4 linked regions of the Saccharomyces cerevisiae S288C genome follow. Changing the gene in region 1 together with any one later gene gives a genetic interaction. Each region holds a gene or a part of one and is shown in the gene's direction. Other genes may lie near its edges. The genes, in order: LCB5, IRS4, ERV2 and VPS55.

The links.
Region 2: mutations in LCB5 (region 1) and IRS4 together harm fitness more than expected from each alone (negative genetic interaction), as found in Saccharomyces cerevisiae (3 studies listed by BioGRID).
Region 3: mutations in LCB5 (region 1) and ERV2 together harm fitness more than expected from each alone (negative genetic interaction), as found in Saccharomyces cerevisiae (2 studies listed by BioGRID).
Region 4: mutations in LCB5 (region 1) and VPS55 together harm fitness more than expected from each alone (negative genetic interaction), as found in Saccharomyces cerevisiae (2 studies listed by BioGRID).

Annotation. Positions count from the first base shown.
Region 1 is NC_001144.5:663,104-668,407, forward strand, and holds LCB5 (sphinganine kinase LCB5), read left to right. Parts: upstream 1-2,740; coding exon 2,741-4,804; downstream 4,805-5,304. Other genes in the region: chaperone ATPase HSP60, read right to left, coding at 181-1,899; VPS63 (Vps63p), read right to left, coding at 5,134-5,304; Rab family GTPase YPT6, read right to left, coding at 5,141-5,304. UniProt on the Saccharomyces cerevisiae protein: Catalyzes the phosphorylation of the sphingoid long chain bases dihydrosphingosine (DHS or sphinganine) and phytosphingosine (PHS) to form dihydrosphingosine 1-phosphate (DHS-1P) and phytosphingosine 1-phosphate (PHS-1P) respectively.
Region 2 is NC_001143.9:473,470-481,954, reverse strand, and holds IRS4 (Irs4p), read left to right. Parts: upstream 1-3,891; coding exon 3,892-5,739; downstream 5,740-8,485. Other genes in the region: ALY1 (Aly1p), read right to left, coding at 1-2,721; VPS51 (Vps51p), read right to left, coding at 3,123-3,617; YKR018C (uncharacterized protein), read left to right, coding at 6,055-8,232. UniProt on the Saccharomyces cerevisiae protein: With TAX4, acts as a positive regulator of INP51 activity and phosphatidylinositol 4,5-bisphosphate turnover. Negatively regulates signaling through the cell integrity pathway, including the MAP kinase SLT2. Also seems to be involved in rDNA silencing.
Region 3 is NC_001148.4:645,448-648,742, reverse strand, and holds ERV2 (flavin-linked sulfhydryl oxidase), read left to right. Parts: upstream 1-1,704; coding exon 1,705-2,295; downstream 2,296-3,295. Other genes in the region: TIF5 (translation initiation factor eIF5), read right to left, coding at 1-39; TIP41 (Tip41p), read right to left, coding at 368-1,438; IRC16 (Irc16p), read right to left, coding at 1,548-1,907; SPO24 (Spo24p), read right to left, coding at 2,590-2,793. UniProt on the Saccharomyces cerevisiae protein: FAD-dependent sulfhydryl oxidase that catalyzes disulfide bond formation in the endoplasmic reticulum lumen in parallel to ERO1.
Region 4 is NC_001142.9:517,085-521,140, reverse strand, and holds VPS55 (Vps55p), read left to right. Parts: upstream 1-1,955; coding exon 1,956-2,378; downstream 2,379-4,056. Other genes in the region: Hsp70 family ATPase SSC1, read left to right, coding at 1-1,503; DNA polymerase delta subunit POL32, read left to right, coding at 3,628-4,056. UniProt on the Saccharomyces cerevisiae protein: Involved in protein transport from endosomes to the vacuole.

The DNA of each region.
Region 1 (5,304 bases):
CTTTGTTCAGTTATCAACATATAGTCATACTTAAAGATATAATAGCTCATAGTCATATATAGTTCTTTATACTTGAAAAAGTGATTCCTAAAAATCTCAACTTTTTTCACATTGTATTTACAAGATAATAAAATTATTACCATATTTAAACGAAAGATAAATTTTGAATTAAGGCGGTCGTTACATCATACCTGGCATTCCTGGCATACCACCTGGCATACCACCAGCGCCAGCAGCTGCTGGTGGTTCTGGGGCATCAACAATAGCAACTTCGGTAGTAGCTAATAGTGAGGCAACACCAGAAGCATCAACTAAACCGGATCTAACCACTTTAAATGGATCGATGATACCAGTGGCTAACATGTCGGTGTATTCTGACTTAGAGGCATCGTAACCCTTGGCAAAATCATCACCATATTCATCAATCAATTTGCCGATGATAACTGAACCTTCTTCACCAGCGTTTTCAATGATCTGCTTGGCTGGTCTTGTAATGGCCTTTCTTATGATATCGACACCCAATTTTTGATCGAAATTGTCGACAACAACTTCATCCAAAACTCTAGATGCCTTCACTAAGGCAGTACCACCACCTGGCAAGATACCTTCCTCAACTGCAGCTCTGGTAGCGTTCAAAGCATCATCGTAACGGTCCTTCTTTTCACCAACTTCAACTTCAGATGCACCACCGACCCTGATGACAGCAACACCCCCGGACAATTTGGCCAAACGCTCTTGCAGTTTCTCCTTCTCATATGAATTTGTGGTGGTAATGTCGATGGAGCCTTTGATTTGTTCAATTCTCTCTTGAATAGCTTCCTTTGGACCACTACCGTTCAGGATAACGGTGTCTTCCTTAGTAACGGTAATAGAGTCACAAGAACCCAAGTTTTCTATGGTACATTGTTCTGGTTTCAAATCCAACTCCTCAGTAAAAACAGTACCGCCCGTCAAGACTGCAATATCACCAATTGTATTCTTTCTATTATCACCGAAACCAGGCGCCTTCACAGCACAAACCTTAACTTGACCCCTCAACTTGTTCAAAATACAAGCCGCAAGAGCTTCACCGTCAACATCTTCAGCAATGATCAACAAAGGTCTTCTGCTTTGATTGGAAATTTCCAAAGCTGGCAAGATATCTTGAATGGAAGAAATTTTCTTTTCACTCAACAATAGCAATGGCTTTTCAAATTCCACCTTGCTCGACTTTGGATCAGTGATGAAGTATGGAGAAATAAAACCACGATCAAACCTCATACCTTCAGTAACCTCAAGTTCATCTTCCAATGTTCTACCTTCTCTGATAGTGATGACACCTTCTTTTCCAACCTTTTCCATAGCTGAAGCTAGTAACTTACCAACATGAGAGTCCCCATTGGCAGAAATGGTTGCTACTTGAGCAATTTCCTCAGATGTGGTAATTTCTTTCTTGTTGGCGCTCAAAAATTCAATCACTTTTTCAACTGCAACTTGAGAACCCCTTCTCAAATCCATAGGGTTACAACCAGCGGCGACATTTTTGACGGATTCTGTGAAGATGGCTCTACCTAAGACAGTAGCAGAAGTAGTACCGTCACCAGCAGCCTCATTGGTTTTGGAGGCAACTTCTTGTAGTAACTTGGCACCCATATTTTCAAACTTGTCCTTCAACACAATAGATTTGGCAACTGTAACACCATCCTTAGTAATCTTTGGAGGACCGAAAGGCTGTTCGATTAAAACGTTTCTACCCTTTGGACCCAAAGTAGCAGCAACCGCTTCAGCTAAAGTTTCGACACCCTTAAGAAGGGAGGCTCTTCCTTCTACACCGAATTTCAATTCTTTATGAGAGGAGTAAGCACGACGCAATAAAGGCCTTAAAGTAGCGCGACTACGAACAACGGATGATCTCAACATTTTGAAAACTTTTTTGCTTATGATGTTTTCTCGTGGGAATTTTCTTATATTATTCAAGGAAGTGCATGAAGACGCAACCACGACCTTACATAATGAATGTAAAACTTAGTCTCCTTCAATATATATACATGAATGTCCGTCTGGATTCTGCTCCGGGCAAAACGAAGCAAAATTAAAGTCACCCTCCCCATTTGGTTTTCTGGAAAATTCCACGAGGTCCGTATATGATGACATATACAGATGGGCGGCTATAAAGTAAGTTTCCAGAGGTAATACCAGGCAATAAACAGCTTCAATTGCTCGTAACACCATTGTATACCTACAAAAACAGTGGAATAGGGATGAGACATAACTGGCTGGAATTTCAACTGTACTTCTTTGCACAACTAGTCTTGGCGTTCTACTTGATCATTGCGCGAATGGATGCACTCGCAATAATTCCCAATAGTATAACAGGAGGAACATTTGGATGCATTAGGTATATTATTCATCTTCTTTATCATCAAAATTTTCTCTTCCTTTATGTTACTATGTTGCTTTCTTTTAATCTATGTTTTTTTCCCTTTCAGTTGCCACCGCTTTTCTGCAAGATTCATAGTTAGATTTGCAAATCAAGGTGTTTTCGGGCCTTGTTAAAGCCTTCGCAGGCGAAGAAGAAAGGGAACGTAAGCTGCGTGAGCCGAATCTATTTATACAAAAACAATCAAAAAAGTATAACTACAGCATAAACTGTTGTATATACGTGTTGCAAAATAGGAAAGAAAAGAAGAGTAAAAGGACTCTTGATATTATCTCGAAAAAACCACAAATAGTGTAAGATTTAAACAGTAAGCCAAAAGAGATGACTTTGAAACCTTCAAAGAGACGTAAGGGCAGGTCTCGCCATTCCAGGAAGAAGCAAATAACGTCAGCGATACTGACTGAGGAAGGAATAATGATCAAGGCAAAACCATCAAGTCCTTACACATACGCAAATAGAATGGCAGATAAACGAAGTCGCAGCAGCATTGACAACATCAGTAGAACTAGCTTTCAAAGCAACATCAGTAGAACTAGCTTTCAAAGCAACAGTGATAACAACAGTATATTTGAAACGGCTTCACTAATTAGCTGTGTTACCTGTTTAAGCGATACTGATACAATAGACAGATCGGAAACATCGACAACGGATACAAGTAAAGATGATCTTTCTGCTAATCCAAAACTTCATTATCCTTCGGTGAATGGTCAATTGCCAGCAAACACCGTTATCCCCTATGGACGAATTCTGGATGCCAGATACATTGAAAAGGAACCTCTGCATTATTATGATGCCAATTCATCACCCAGTTCACCTTTAAGCAGCTCAATGAGTAACATTAGTGAAAAGTGTGATCTTGATGAATTAGAGTCTTCCCAAAAAAAAGAAAGGAAGGGCAACTCGCTATCGCGAGGAAGTAACAGTAGTAGTAGCCTCCTGACTTCCAGATCTCCTTTTACGAAACTAGTAGAGGTTATATTTGCTAGGCCAAGACGGCATGACGTTGTACCCAAAAGGGTTTCATTGTATATTGACTATAAACCCCATTCATCTTCTCACTTAAAAGAAGAAGATGACTTGGTTGAGGAGATTTTAAAGAGAAGCTACAAAAACACTAGAAGGAACAAATCCATATTTGTGATCATTAATCCGTTTGGTGGTAAAGGTAAGGCGAAAAAACTGTTTATGACAAAGGCAAAGCCGTTACTATTAGCAAGTCGGTGTTCCATAGAAGTGGTTTATACAAAATACCCTGGTCATGCTATAGAGATCGCGCGGGAAATGGATATTGACAAATATGACACTATTGCTTGCGCTTCGGGAGATGGCATTCCTCATGAGGTGATCAATGGGTTATACCAAAGGCCTGATCATGTCAAAGCATTCAACAATATCGCCATTACAGAAATTCCATGCGGATCAGGTAACGCAATGAGCGTATCCTGCCACTGGACAAACAATCCTTCGTACTCAACTTTATGCTTAATTAAATCGATAGAGACTAGAATTGATTTGATGTGTTGTTCGCAGCCTTCTTATGCAAGAGAGCACCCAAAGTTATCATTTTTAAGTCAAACATATGGTCTCATTGCAGAAACTGACATAAACACTGAATTTATTAGATGGATGGGACCTGCAAGGTTTGAATTGGGTGTAGCCTTCAATATCATACAAAAAAAAAAATATCCTTGTGAGATATATGTAAAGTATGCTGCCAAATCAAAAAACGAGTTAAAAAATCATTACCTGGAACACAAAAATAAAGGGTCGTTAGAATTCCAGCATATTACTATGAACAAAGATAACGAGGATTGTGATAATTACAATTACGAAAATGAATACGAAACCGAAAACGAAGATGAAGATGAAGATGCGGATGCGGATGACGAAGACTCCCACTTGATATCTCGTGATCTGGCAGATTCTAGTGCTGATCAAATTAAAGAGGAAGATTTCAAAATAAAATATCCATTAGATGAAGGTATCCCTAGTGACTGGGAAAGATTGGATCCTAATATTTCGAACAACCTAGGTATCTTCTATACGGGTAAAATGCCATATGTGGCTGCTGACACTAAATTCTTTCCGGCAGCGCTTCCTTCAGATGGTACAATGGATATGGTTATCACCGATGCAAGAACCTCGTTGACGAGGATGGCACCAATCCTGCTGGGACTAGATAAGGGTTCCCATGTTTTACAACCGGAAGTCTTACACTCTAAAATTTTGGCATACAAGATAATACCAAAGCTAGGGAACGGCTTGTTCTCTGTCGATGGCGAGAAATTTCCTCTAGAGCCCCTTCAAGTCGAAATTATGCCACGCTTATGCAAGACGTTACTGAGAAATGGCCGTTATGTGGACACAGATTTCGATTCTATGTGACACTTTACTTAATCTTTTCCTTCGTACTGAACAATTAATCAAAAACTAGAATATGTCATTTCTATTTCTTCTATATTTTTTTTACGTTGTTGTTGTTTTTGTTGTTGTTTGATAACTTTATACACTCCATACTTCTTTATAAAAAGTTTTAATACCATTCTTTAATACAACCATGTTTAGTGAGTACTAGCTCCTACACATCAGATCGTCAAGTACATTATGATTATGATTATTATTAATATTATCAGTACAATTATTATGTGCTGGTAGTTCACTAAAAAATATGACGCACACAAAGAGTTCTCCTTATGCCCTATAGAACTGAAATATTAGGTGCTAACACTGACAAGCGCTTTGTTCCTGCTCCTCTGCTGTAGAAATATCAATGACTCCCGGTTTATTTTGGTTTGCACTATTTGCATTTTCGCTATCCAAAGGAGTTGACTCGCTGTTTTGAAATTCAGGCAGCGATTTGGCAATCTTTTTGAATAAAGCTTTGA
Region 2 (8,485 bases), on another chromosome or scaffold:
CTTAAAGTCGTCCAGTACACGGTTTTCACTAGCAACGTTAACCGAGTAGGCTGCTGGGTCAACATGGTTCTTGCTTACCTCCCAATCAAATTTGGAATCTGATGACATTCTTGGATCATAAAATGCTGTAATATCGACTGAAGAATCCACTGTATCTTCTGGATTATCAACTCTGTTATTACTATTGCTGTTTGATTGTATGACGTTATCATTAATTTTAAGTATTGGTAGTTTCTTATTGAAATTTAATGATTGGCTTTTGGGAAAGGCATCTTCGTCACTACTGCCTAGCATCTGGTTTATGTCATTGAAATGCTGATTGTTCTGTCTTATTGTACTAGGTAACACTGATGTTGCGTGTAGACTGGCACGATTTTTTTTTCTCCCATCAAGACTCATGTTTAAAGACTGCAAAATAGGAGTGTGTGAATTAACGTTCTCACTCGGAGCACTGGTTGACAGCTTGAAGTTGAAACCAGATGCTATATCGCCATCATTGTCATCTTCGTCGGATAAGTCATCAATTTGAGACCAACCATTGAATGAGTCCTCCTCAATGCTGGCCAATGTCTCTCTAGATTTGTTTAGTTTTAGTTCAGGAATTTTAGATGAACTTGTATCGTAGTATGGCAATTCAATCCCATCGGCCTTTAATACATCAAAATATGATGGAGGATCCACAGGAATAGCATGAGAATCGGCTGCGCCGCGCTTAGCTAGATCAAAATCAAAATCTGGAGGCGGGGAGTTTGATAATGGTTGGTAATTGAGAATTGGTGAGGTGATGGGCGATAATGGTAACGCCTGAGGAGAAGTTAATTCTCTTGGAATCTGATTGGGCTTATAAATGTTTGCGACCAGCTGTTTGGATGCGAAGACATTGCTACTTTGATCATTCTTCTTGGAGGTATTATCTGACTTGCTTTTCTTTACGCTTTCAGCTCTATTACGCACTACTGGAAGATCAGACGGTATTCTAATGTTCATCTTCTGCACGTTAGGTGAAAGAACGGGAGACGAAAGAACTTCTTTTGGGAAGAAAATATTGGAATCATGATGACTTGCGTAATTTTGTTGATCTGCTGCTGGTGCGAAATTACCATCTTCATCACAATACTGGAAATGACTCTCGTAGCTCGGTAGCAAAGTATTCGCGTGTGAGCATAGTTGATTTAAAATATGGATTGGAGAATCAATACTTATTTCGAAATGTTTTCTATTGTCCCCGTACTTCTTGGAAAGACGAAGGCAAATTTTTATCCAATGGTGGGCTTTGATTTTATCATAATTTGTATCAGGGTGTAACCGTATACTGTTTGTAAACTTGCTTGGGACAAACACCTCGAACTGAAAATCTTTGTTAACTAGATCGCCGGATTTTTCATCCAAGAGGATGTTCCCTCTATTTTTAGCCTTCAAAGGATTCGAACCAGCTGGTATATGAGGCAGTTTAGGACCGTTATGTTCAGCCAACAGAAACTTTTTAGTTGGCTCTAATCTACGAGCCTTCTCGTGATTTCCATTACTATTACAAGTGTATTCCATAGACTCTGTTAGATAAATTCTAATACGATGCAGAGTAACTTTATCTAGAGGAGCGAAATGGAAATCGATGGGTAAAAATGCATTCAAAACGATCTCTTTCGAGAAAATTACCACGTCATAATGAAGAAGATCTTTCCAGTCCTTGGAAATTGCAATAGCTTCAGTCTCTTCTACGGATCCATCAGAAGGAAGCCTTACGACTTTGATGGGTAATTGAGTATGTATAGTTGATTTGAATGCGCCAAACCTCTCTATGTCTATTGACAGTTTATACTCCACGGAACCAAAATTGGCTTTTATACTTTCTGGATAAGATTGCGATATTGGCTGTTCAAAAGTGTAAATATAATCGCCCGGTCGAAAAATAAAAACTTCTTTAGAATCTTTGGATGGTGTAAGATAGTTATCCTCTTGCTCAGGACTTGGAGTAGCGCCACTATTACTGAATGTTTTTGTAAACAAATCAGATATGAAGGTATGAGGTGACAAAGAGTTACCGTGAAAATTTGCCGGTACCGATCCTCTTCGACTAGATGATGGTAATGGTGTCTTTTGAATAGCCAACAGTTTACTGTCGTCATGGGAAACATCACTTGATACTGGCTTGTTACTCAAATTATCGGATGACAATGAGTTGCGCTCATAGGCATCCAGACTTAGATTGCTATTATCTTTAGGGGGTTCAGCGGTTGGTGGGATATATACTGAAGCACCGCTTTTTTCAAGTAGATAATCTTCATCGCTCATAGATGGGCGATTGGACGAATTATTTGAGCTGTGATGTTCTAAGGTGAAAGAATTCATGCCGTCATCCGCCTGATAAAATGGCCATGTGTGATTGACAACAGTTTCAACATCTGAAAATTCTTCTCTCTTCGGTGGTATACCTTCCGGCCACTCTGTTCTGGATATTCCTTTGAAGGTTATCGATATACTTTTTAATTTATTCGGTTTCAACACCCTGACGATAAGAGATCCTCGTAAGATACTGGGGGCTATTTCAGACAGTCCGTTAGTTTCAAATCCTTTTAAAAACACTATGGGTTCGGCAAGCTTTACAAAGACTTGTAGTGTTGTTGTCTGCACCAGTGGGACGGCATCAGGTGCTGCATTTATATCTTGCTCCATGGGAAACACTGGAGCTACAGTATCATTTTCTGTATTGAATTGGAGCATGTAGTCATAGAGGAACAAGCAATATTCTATGGGATTCCAGCGTATTTGTGCGGAATGGAACTTTCTGTTGGTTGTCTTTCTTGTTGCTTGTCTCTTATTTCAACGAGTTGTTCCCATTTTTGATAAGATGGGGATAGCGAAATAAGACAAAAGAGTCAATATTTGGCAATTCGCTCAAAGAGGTAAAAAGACGGCGCTATTATATATCTGCGTATATATACTACAAACAGCCGGGAATACATTTGGCAAAGTCCTCGTACGACAATAGGGCAATTGCTAGTAGTGTTAAGCAGTTTTTCAGGTGAACTTGCAAACCGAAAAAGAGGAAAAATTGGTTCACATAGTAAAATGCACTCTCTCGAAGGAAGTGTTCGGTGAAAGCCACGATATGCCGCTGGAAATTACAGTTCCTTGATTAAAGATTCTACTGTTTGCTTCAACTTGTTAATTTGGTCTTCATTGGCGTTTGTAATTTCTTTGAGAAGGTCGTTGACTTTTATTAGGTCATAATAGTTTTCGTAAATGGTATTCTTGATAGAATTGTTAGTCTCGGTTTCTTTGCCCAAGAGCTTATTGTGAATTTGTACTAGCCTCTTAAAGGGCAGGTTCTTTATCTCTTCTTCTGCATCTTCTGACCCCTCCTTGAGATCCTCTTCAGTTGCACTCAATTCGTCATCTTTCACTGGTTTCTCAGTGTTTGCTTCGGTATCTATATTCACATCTGTGACTTGCTCCTCCCCAGAATGAGCCTCGCTGGCTTTTTCCCCTATACGTGCTTCTTGACGACCTTTATTCGGTTCATTTTCCAAGTTGTAGAATTCTCTTAAGAGCAATCTTCTATCTTTGTTCAGACTGCTCACCCTCAGGGACTTTTTGTGACTAATTTGTTCTGCCATCTGTACTTAATATCCTCGTCAGATTCCGTCTCACCGCAAATACGCCTCTTCTATGCAGAGCCTCACCTATACGTACAACTTACTGCCTCTTGTTTCCACGCAGCGAAAATTCGATGATTTCTCGTATAAAGCATATCGAAGTTGAATCATCACAAAAAGGCCCATTGTGTAATGGACCCTTGCCACAACAACACTCTCGTTGCACAGGTAGAACATACTTTTAAGGCCTGGGTAGATTCATTTTTTTGACATAGGAAAAGATTAGCAGAGGAGTATGAGACTTTCGTTTGGTAAACAGCGTTATCATGGCGGTACAACAGTAACTTTGACTGAACAAGGAGCTTCAGATTCCCTTCGCGCTGCGCAAGCTATCTTCCAGAACCATTCCAATGAGGTCAGCAGTCCATGCCCTCCAGTAACGGTGAGCAGGAATCCTCAAACTAGGTTATCAGAGCCATCGCTACAAAAGTCAGGGCGGAAACAAGAACAAAAGAAGGCACGCATACGAACAAAACAGGTACCTAAGATTAAAACAACGGCGCCTAATGATGTTGAGTTGTCTAAGAAACACAGGTCAAGCCCTGCAGGTAAAGATAATGTTAGTAGTACTGCTCAAATGGCAGCTGCTTTAGCGCATTCACAATCGAAACTTAGTTCTGACAATAACTCCTCCCATTCTTCGGCATTGGATACACTAAAAGTTCTAGAAACTCCGAACTTGAATGGCTTGCTGGGCATTCATTCACGCTCAAGCTCAAGAAACGGCTCCAATGAATCACTGACGCCTGGCCAAAGAACTCCCGACAATAGATCTCAAGAGAATTTACTTACTTCCTTTAGTAGCGGTAGAAGGCTATCCTCGAGCTCTATGGAGCCTGCAACTAATAAAGACAGCAACAAAGCTCTGCCCAAACGCAGGCCGTCTCCTCCCTTGCAATCATCACTTGTCGGCAGTGGTCAGCTTCATGAAAATGAAAACCTATCATCAATTAGCATCGATTCCAGACATAGTCTCAATCCGGACACTTCAGACGTTATTTCTAATAGGTCACAAACAAGTCTATCTCAAACAATTAATCAACTCTCGTTATGTGAATCAGAGCCATCTATTGCAAGCTCAAACACTACTACTACAACGAGCAACCAGGGAAGTGGTTTGCCCAACTTGGTTCCGAACTATTCATCCGATATGAGGAAGAAGAAGCTTGTTAACAAGTTCAAAAGGAAAGTATTTGGTAGTAAGCCCAAGCACTTATCTTCACAATATGAAATGGATGCAAGCAGCGAAGAACTGGGACAACATGAACAACAACCGAGTATGAGATTTAAAACAACATTACGTAAAACCTCTGTAAGTACAAACGCAGAAAATGATCATGCATCCTCTCTACATGAGGGAAATCTGAGGTATAAGTACAATCCGTCCAACGACACGTATGATGTGTATGACGATACTGATTCTGATTCTGAATCTGATCAGAACCAGGACGCCTTGACCAAGCCACGCAAAAGAGATAGAATTAAGAGAAAGATCAGGAATTCTGCCAATAAAACTGCACATCATAGGCCTATCCACCGCACGAGAGATCGGAAATTCAATGAGGATAAACCCTGGAAATCACATACAGATATAACTTTCGTAACAGACAACGAAAGGAAGCGTTACGAAAGCATGTGGGTAAGCAACAGACACCGTCATTTGAACCTGTTGAGCTGGTGGCCCTCTATAACGGGTGATTCCGGAGCAATTAATACTTTACCCGAAGATGGATTGATATTGGGTATCATAGTCCGTGATATCTGGAAGCGGTCTAACTTGCCCAATAGTCTATTGGCAGAAATTTACACGAAGGTAGACACAAGAAAAGATGGTACTTTAGATAGGAAATCTTTTATTGTGGGTATGTGGCTGGTCGATCAGTGCCTGTATGGCAGAAAACTTCCCAATGTTGTCGAGCAATGCGTTTGGGATAGCGTAGATAGATATGCTTCCACCACGGTTGTGCCAGTGAGTACGCTAAAGGCGATGGCCAAACAAAAGAGAAAACAGATGAAAGAAGAAATCAAGAATATCAAGAAGGAAAACCGTGTAGTTCTTGTAGACCACAATAGCTCGTCGTGACGAGTGTGACTCGCACCACTTCGTAGGTAGACATATACAGAAGTATATATATATAATGCGTAATTCCCCCACTTGTTACTGTTAAGCTAATCGAATTGTCATCTCAGAAATCTTGTTCGAGATAAGGCCAATCTTACTAAAAAAATGTCTATTAGTCTTCTCTGTTATTATTATTCCCGGCTTTTTGCTTTCTTTCCTTTTTTCCAAGGAAGGGGGCAAATTCGATCAACTAAAAAAGAGGCATCGTTTATTCGGATGCCACCACTGAGACGATCCACAGGCTAATTGTGACTAGTGGATCACAGAACAACCAAAATGTTTAAAGTGTTTGGTTTTGGTGCGAAGGAAGAGATTCCTGAGCTTTCACAGGAAGAAAAAACTAAAGCCATTCTAAAACAAGCTCATGATTTCGAACAGGCACTGCGTGCGATGGACTATGTCTTAGATGATAATGCTGACGAGGGTTTGGCTTTGCTGGATGAGAGTGATGCTAAAGAAGCTTCCGACCAAACTATAAATGCGTTAGCTCGTGGTGTCATTGAATTTTTGGAGGCCACTTTAGGTTTTGAAGCTGAAGAGATGAAAAAAGCTTCTGCGACTTTGGCCAAGGCAGAAGCTTTATCTTTGAAAAGTAGAGAGAGGGCTCAAAAAATTGGATTGAAGAGCAGTTCTTTATATCCTCCAGGAACAGTTTATGCCGTGACTTATACAGAATCATGCCTTCTACATGCCCTATTGATGATTTTCAGTGAAAGTATGATGGAGGCGGCCAAGGCCATTTTAAAGCTCAGAAAGTCGTACTATATGTTACAAGAAATCTTGGAAACTATTAAAGCTGCTAACAAAGCCAAGAAATTGAAAATTACGTCAGGCAGTGAAGATAAGGAGTCCACCCCAGCGACTTTCATAACTGGTGGCGATGCGTTCAATTCCGTTGATATACCTTATGAACTGACTCCTGAAGAACAAAAGGATAAGGATCTTTTACAATTTGCTGAACAAATTCATAGCATGAGGACTGAAAGATTATCTGGCGCCCACATTGGCAACTCTCCTGCAATTAACAGGTTGAGAGGTGAGCTAGGACTACAAGCAATGGAAGACTTGCCAGAAGAGGAAATAACAGATCATAAAGTTCTTTCGGATGATATAGATTTAAGTCAAGCAACAATTGATGAGTTTGTCCATTCTGGTGTCAATTTATGCTTTGGTATTTTACAGGTTGTGATATCACTATTACCACCCGCTATTGGCGCGGTCCTATCTGTGGTTGGATTCAGGGGTTCCAGAGAAGAAGGTTTGAGACTTGTTTGGAAAGCCACAAAGCAAAGAAACGTGCATGGTTGTATTGGTTTGTTAGCCCTGATGTTTTACTATGATGGACCTTTCCAATTCACTGACGATGATTTTGATATTCCTGCAGCAGTTAAGGATTCCAGTAACAGTGAAGATTCTGAAGATGAAGAGATGGATGGCCCTACGTTGTTGCATCCTGGGAAAATACTGGAAGATGCGTTGCTGCAATCAAGAGCGCTATTTCCCAATAGTGCGCTATGGTTATTGAATGAGGCAAGGATGCTATCTGGTAAAGGGCGTTTAGAGGAAGCAGTCGCATTGATGGATTCGATTGATGTTAGCAAGATACGGATGAGACAGGTCAAATCCTTGATGATTTTTGACCGTGCTATAACATTGATCCATTTGCATCAATACGATAGAGCTGCAGAAGATATTTTATCGCTATTAGACATCAGTGATTGGTCACACGCTTTTTACACATATTTTGCTGGCTGCTGTTATTTAGAAAATTGGAGAATGTGCGAAATGGGATTAATGAAGTCAGACAAAAAGGATGAATACCAAAAGAAGGCCGAAGAACTTATCTTCACCTCTGTGAATTTGCTAGGTAAGAAAACCTTCAAATCGAAGAACCTGCCATTAGATAGGTTTATTCTGAGAAAAGTTGAGCAATTTAAAGCGAAAAAGGAGGAACTTGGGGTGGAAAATCCTCTGGATGGTATCGCTACTTCACCAGTACACGAAATTGCGTACTTCTACAATGGTTATAATAGAATGTCTGAAGAGCATTTGGAGCTAACAAAGAAAATGCTAACTGAGTATAGAAATCCCGCCATTGAAGCTTTAGACTCAGATCAGGAGTTAATCAAAGATCTCTTGGTCTCTTTGACATTAAGAAGATTAGGTCATATCCAAGAAGGTTGTGATATATTGGATGAAAAGGTTCTACCTAAGTTTTTCTCCATTCAAAATGGCAAGGTCAAATATATAAAGAAAACTGAAGATCCATGGGCCTATCCGACTGCACTTTATGAACGTGCTCTATTTACATGGAAGTTGGAGGGCATGGATGGCCTTCCAGAGAGTAAAGAATGGTTACTGAGGGCTCAGGGCTACGCAGATGATTATGAATTGAGTACGAGAGTAGGTATGAAAATTAAGGCTGCCATTGACCGCGTTGACCATTCATTGTAATCAAGTTTTGATCAGCCCTCATGCCCTTTTTTTTAAGAAATATTTTCCCCTATTAGTTTTCCTAATGTCCCACCTAATTTTAAAGCGCTAAGCTATACTTATTGACCGTACATACCTTGCGTAGTTTAATTACATACGATTTGATGCTTTCTCAGTGCCATCGTCCTTCCTCCTTGCGCAAAAAATAGGAACCCGCTTTAGAAAAGAGGAGAGGAAGGTGAAGAATGCTGTGAGTACTGCCTTAGTTTTAAGG
Region 3 (3,295 bases), on another chromosome or scaffold:
AAATGGATCATGATTATCTCTACAAATATTAATAGACATCTTGTACCAGTGAACGTGTGTTTATGCAAATAATAGGAGTTTTTTTTTTTGGAAAAAAAAGAAGAACACACGAGATACTCTTTAATGTAGTGGTGTCTTTGTAAGTCAGCAAAGTGGGAAGGAGGGGTAGGCGTTTGCCACTAATTAAATGCTAAAAGTTCATCTATTTTCTTTTTTTTTTTTCGTTCATACTTCGCGATGAAAATTTTTCACTATTTACAGAACGGGTAAGAGCATGATTTTAAGATCATTTCTTGTATGATGTATCCGGAGCTTATGTATATGTGACGTGTATGTATTTGTACGTATTGTTTTGTATATTTGATTGTTAGAACTGAATTATTTCACATTGTCTTTTGATCATCGGCGTGTTCTGTGCTACCCAATTACTATCTCTCAAGGCAGCTTTTGGGTCGTGAGATTGGGATAGCCGGTGCTTAGCAAGTACATCCTGATATTTACCTTCAAATTCCTTGGATTCTCTGATCACTACGTTTTCGTCAAACTCCACGTAAATCCTGGTGTCGTAGACCCTCACCAGAACATCGTCCACCCTTAAAAAGAACCGGCTCAGCAGCAGTAACCTTTCGTTCATAACTCTTATTTTGACGTTAAGGATTGATATGCCATTGTCTGCCAATTCGTCTTCGAAAAGAATCATGTCGTCATAGAATAGGATTTTATCGTGTACGGCCAGTTTGTCAAGGGGCAGCTTTTGATCGTTATCCAGTCGGAATTTCGACTCAGGTGAGCTCTCTGTGCCCTTATACCGCGTAGTGTAGGTCCAGTCGTACTTGTGTATGATATTTAAGGAATCGTCGTTCACATCGTTAGTGAACCGTTGCGCACCATTAGTTGAATTTTGTCTTTTTTTAGAATTTATCCAGTCGTTTGAGTACGCAACACGAATACCTGAATCCTGGAGTTGAACCTCCTTTAAAGCATCCAGGGCATTGAACTCTATGGACCAATGCTGTTTTGAATTTTCGATCCTGATGTAGTTGTTACCAAAAATCATCTCTGGCAAAGTCAAACCTTTGAGTTTTTCGTTTTCCCAGATGTCTAATTCCTGCGAGTTCAAAATGGGCTTCTTTCTGGAGGAGATGGTCCAGTCGTTGATGGAGATGGAGGGGTTGTCCTCCAAGGGTAACGTGGCCCTTGGAGATGGAATGATAACAGACCCACAGTGGAGACACTGCGGATTGTTTGGGTTATTGCAAATATGTCGAGGTGGTGTTGCTGGGGCTGCAGTTGGTTGCACAGAGGGTGTAGTGATGCCGCTAGTTGGCATGGGCATTCTTCGAGCGCGCACCGTTTGAGCGTGCATTTCTCTAGCAGCATTTATTTGAATAGTGTTTATCCCTGATGATCTGAGCGGTGGAGTGTTTCTTTTGGACATTTTTTCTGGGGAGCTGTTGTGTCTAAAGCTGCCCTTAGGTCATGTATATGGGGTGCGTAAGTATGGTGATGCATTTTGTTATTATATATTACAAGATGGAAGAGAAAGGTTAACCACCGGGTAAACGAAGCGGGAAAAGGAACCAAAAATAAAGGACAAAAGGCTTTATCATTAAACAATAAACGTGGGTGATGAAGACAAGAAGACGGGAAGGCTGGTGATTTGTAAAGAGGAAAGTCTGGACAGATTGTGCAAGGAACGAAGGGATGAAACAGATAGTCAAAAGAAGCCATGCCATCAGAATAGTTGCAGCATTAGGAATCATAGGCCTGTGGATGTTTTTCTCGTCTAATGAACTATCCATCGCTACGCCGGGCCTAATCAAGGCGAAGTCTGGTATAGATGAAGTGCAAGGGGCGGCTGCTGAGAAGAACGACGCTCGGTTGAAAGAGATCGAGAAGCAAACCATTATGCCATTGATGGGCGATGACAAGGTGAAGAAGGAAGTGGGCAGGGCGTCGTGGAAGTACTTCCATACCCTGCTGGCCCGTTTTCCGGACGAGCCTACTCCTGAAGAAAGAGAGAAACTGCACACGTTTATTGGGTTGTATGCAGAACTCTATCCATGCGGGGAATGTTCATATCACTTTGTAAAGTTGATTGAGAAGTATCCCGTACAGACATCTAGCAGGACGGCTGCCGCAATGTGGGGATGCCACATTCACAACAAGGTGAACGAATACCTAAAGAAAGACATATATGACTGTGCTACCATCCTGGAGGACTACGATTGTGGATGTAGTGACAGCGACGGTAAACGCGTGTCTCTCGAGAAGGAGGCTAAACAGCACGGTTGAACAAAGAAAGATTACATTAATCAATTATAGTAATAGTAAATTTTTTATTATTTTATATTTTAAATTTTTTTACTTTCTCAGTATTTATATTACATAAATATGTATATATCAAAAAGTTTCTGTCGTAGAAGAGACCCGATCCGAGGTTATTGAATGTAAGTGCGGGAAAGTGCAGATAGAATGACAATGAATGCTCCGGAAAAAAAAAAAAAAGTACGTGACTTACTTGCCCAAGTAAGTAAAGATGCCAAGTGTCTTTTATGCTAATAGTGTGCTAATTCTCGTGTACAACACTTACAACAGAGACAAAGAGTTTTTTCTGGAGTGTGAGCGGCTTGAAGCAGAGGCATCCAAAAGAGCGGCATTGGCAATAGCCAGATTCAGGTCATCGACGTTTGCGTCAGAGTTCTTTCTTGAGCTTGGCTGAGAGACTGGCGAAAGAGATGGGATGACAAAAGGTTGAGAAACGTCAGAAGTTAGTTCTAAAAAGGCGACCATTGTTGAAATTTTTGTTTTTTGTGTTATTTGTGTGAGTTGTCAGTAAAGCTGTTTTGTAGTTGCTTGTTTGATGATGATTTTTTATATTTTACAAGGACTAGAGGAAACAATTGTGAGAGTTGAGCTATTGGAGAAATCTAGAGACCTTATATATGTGTCTGTTCTTCATGCTAATTGAGCCCCCTCTAAAGTTCTCTTACGTTATAGAGCGTCATGACAACGATTGATCACGCAGATGACTAACCGCCAGTCACAGCGCATATTAGCGCGCAAATGAAAAGAATGACCGACCCGCCGCGGAATCGATCTCGGATTTGCGCGGGGACAGCCACACCCACCTTCCGCGGACCTGCGGAGGGTGGTTTTCGGCAGGCGGTTCCCGGACACCAGGAAAGGGGCGCCCATTAATACCCGACTTCGGCGGCCACCGAAGGCTCAGGGGCGGGGAGGAGGCGTCATGAAAAAGCATGATTCACTGCATTACCAATCACGCACGCACGCA
Region 4 (4,056 bases), on another chromosome or scaffold:
GCTGAGGCCTACTTGGGTAAGCCAGTTAAGAATGCTGTTGTCACTGTCCCAGCTTATTTCAACGACTCTCAAAGACAAGCTACTAAAGACGCAGGCCAAATTGTTGGTTTGAACGTTTTACGTGTCGTCAATGAACCAACCGCCGCTGCCTTAGCTTACGGTTTGGAAAAATCCGACTCTAAAGTTGTTGCCGTTTTCGATTTGGGTGGTGGTACTTTCGATATCTCCATCTTAGATATTGACAACGGTGTTTTTGAAGTTAAGTCCACTAACGGTGACACTCATTTGGGTGGTGAAGATTTCGACATCTATTTGTTGAGAGAGATTGTTTCTCGTTTCAAGACCGAAACTGGTATTGATTTGGAAAATGACCGTATGGCTATCCAAAGAATTAGAGAAGCTGCTGAAAAGGCTAAGATTGAGCTATCTTCTACCGTTTCCACTGAAATCAACCTGCCATTTATCACTGCTGATGCCTCAGGTCCAAAGCATATCAACATGAAGTTCTCCAGGGCTCAATTCGAGACTTTGACAGCCCCACTAGTTAAGAGAACTGTCGACCCAGTCAAGAAGGCTTTGAAAGACGCCGGTTTGTCTACTTCAGACATATCTGAAGTCTTATTGGTCGGTGGTATGTCCAGAATGCCTAAGGTTGTCGAAACCGTTAAATCTTTGTTTGGTAAGGACCCATCTAAGGCCGTCAACCCAGATGAAGCTGTTGCCATTGGTGCTGCTGTGCAAGGTGCTGTCTTGTCCGGTGAGGTTACTGACGTCTTATTATTAGATGTTACCCCATTGTCTCTAGGTATCGAAACTTTAGGTGGTGTTTTCACAAGATTGATTCCAAGAAACACTACTATTCCAACAAAGAAATCTCAAATCTTCTCCACTGCCGCTGCTGGTCAAACTTCTGTTGAAATCAGAGTTTTCCAAGGTGAAAGAGAATTGGTTAGAGACAACAAATTGATTGGTAACTTCACTTTAGCCGGTATCCCACCTGCTCCAAAGGGTGTCCCACAAATCGAAGTCACTTTTGACATCGATGCCGATGGTATTATTAACGTTTCTGCTAGAGACAAAGCTACAAACAAAGATTCTTCTATTACTGTTGCCGGTTCTTCTGGTTTGTCCGAAAACGAAATTGAACAAATGGTTAACGACGCTGAAAAATTCAAGTCTCAAGATGAAGCTAGAAAACAAGCCATCGAAACTGCCAACAAGGCTGACCAATTGGCCAACGATACTGAAAACTCCTTGAAAGAATTTGAAGGTAAGGTTGACAAGGCTGAAGCCCAAAAGGTTAGGGATCAAATCACTTCCTTGAAGGAGTTGGTTGCTAGAGTACAAGGTGGCGAAGAGGTTAACGCTGAGGAGTTAAAGACCAAGACCGAAGAATTGCAAACTTCCTCGATGAAATTGTTTGAACAATTATACAAGAACGACTCTAACAACAACAACAACAACAACGGCAACAATGCCGAATCTGGTGAAACTAAGCAGTAAAAAGCAAATTCCTGTTAATAAATTACTACCACAATGTTAAACTAGAAAGAATGACAAAAAACATAATAATAACTAACCAGTATTTTTGTTTCTTTATTTTTTAAGAACATTTATATACATAATATACACGCCCCAAACATATATCGTTTATATAAGTACTGTTTCCTCGCATTAAGCGGGAAAGCCATGTATCTCTTGTAATTAGTTTGATCCTGTTCTATACCCAAATGTACTCCTCAAAATTATTACATTTTATTATGCCTTTTTCTTAGATGGGCTTTCACTCCACTTTACGAAAAACTGAGAAAAAAAGAGTAGGAGAAAAACTAGAAAAGGGGAATCACACACACACACACACACACACACACACACACACACACACGTCTAATATCGGCGCATATTTATCAAATCTAAAAGGCAAAGAATCTTAATACATAAAATCCCAGACGGTTATGATGGAATTCAAAGTGTCACCATTGACAAAGATTATTTCTCTGTCAGGATTCCTCGCATTGGGATTCCTTTTGGTCATACTAAGCTGCGCATTATTCCATAATTACTACCCACTATTCGATATTTTGATCTTTTTGCTTGCCCCAATACCAAACACAATTTTCAATGCAGGAAATAAATATCACACATCTGACTTCATGTCCGATTCATCAAACACTGGCCAAGATCTGGCTCACTTCCTTACAGGAATGCTGGTGACAAGCGGTATAGCACTCCCTGTTGTTTTCTATCATTGCCAATTGATTGGCCATTTGAGTTGTATCATGTGCATGATCGGTGGTCTTATCATATATTCTAGTATTGTTATTTTTAAATGGTTTTTCAAAAAAGATTTCAACGAAGATGATTCCCTTTTTGGTTAATATATAACAATTACTCATCCCCTCAACAGACTAAGCCAACTGGGTGCGTGAACCGTACATTGATATTATATAGTATGATACTCTACTCAAGGTGGGAAATCTGGCGTCGATTTCTCCTTTTTTTTAGAACTACTTAAATATAATAGATTACATAAAATTACTTTCTGTCTTTCTTCCATTTCAAGTTTTCAAACAAAAAATGCCAAGAAATTCGTGTCTTTAGCCTCTAGTTGACAGAATAATGTAGATAGGCAAAGTTGGCTGAATACATCCGTAATTTCGGGATAAGGATTGGCATTGAATCGCCACATGTCTATAATCTTATTTGAATCGATCTATGAGCGGAAACGTTGAGCAATGGTCGTACAACCATTCTGTGCCGCAATATACCTCATGAAAAGAGATGGGATTGCAAACCTTGAGAAATTAGTCTCTAGTAGGATAATGTATTGTACATTTGTTTGATTCCGCAGTTTTTATAGTGGCTTGAGATTTGTATTTCAACTAGATATGTTGAAAATATCCTCGTAGCGAATGTGGACATAGTGATAACAACAATGTCTTTGTCTTCTACACAAAGGTAAAGGTGTATAAAGCTTTACACACAATAAAGACGACACATAACAAATTATGCAACTGCGCTGCTATTGTAGGATAGCGTCCGATATTATCAATTCTTGCTTTTCAGCTTCTATTATATCTGATGACTAGTTCTCAATCTTTACGTCATCTTCCTATGGCATATTTTGTAATGTGCTAGTGACATGAATACTACTATGGATTATAGTAGGATTTCATTCTAACACAGCTCAGTGTGCAAGTTGTTTTTAATTTTACAATATGAATCTTTATTAAGTCTAAAATATTCATAAAAGTTAAGCGCCGTGGCGCAGTGGAAGCGCGCAGGGCTCATAACCCTGATGTCCTCGGATCGAAACCGAGCGGCGCTAAGCTTAATTTTTATATTTTTATCGTTTCACCTTATGAAAATTCTCGATCAGTATGCCTCAATATAGAACACTTCATTAATGGAAGTACCTTAATAAGGTTATACTAACGAATAGGTCTATTTTCCACTACGGTGTAACTTTCCGACGGAAGTAGTAAACGCGTATGAGTTAAACACGCGAAACTCTTAATTTTGAAAAGTACGCAGAAGTTCGTTACATCGCAATCAGATCAGCTCGAAATAATATTTCACATTAACTAACAACCAGAAATAGGCTTTAGTTAACTCAATCGGTAATTAATGGATCAAAAGGCGTCATATTTTATCAATGAGAAGCTCTTCACTGAGGTAAAGCCCGTCCTTTTTACGGATCTAATTCACCACTTGAAGATCGGCCCATCCATGGCCAAGAAATTAATGTTTGACTATTACAAACAGACCACCAATGCCAAATACAACTGCGTAGTGATATGCTGCTACAAAGATCAAACTATTAAAATTATTCATGATCTTTCCAACATTCCACAGCAAGATTCAATAATTGATTGTTTCATCTATGCCTTCAATCCCATGGACAGCTTCATACCATATTACGACATTATCGATCAAAAGGATTGTTTAACCATTAAAAATTCATACGAACTTAAAGTTTCTGAATCATCGAAAATTATAGAGAGGACTAAGACGTTAGAAGAGAAATCTAAACCTTTGGTAAGGCCTACAGCAAGA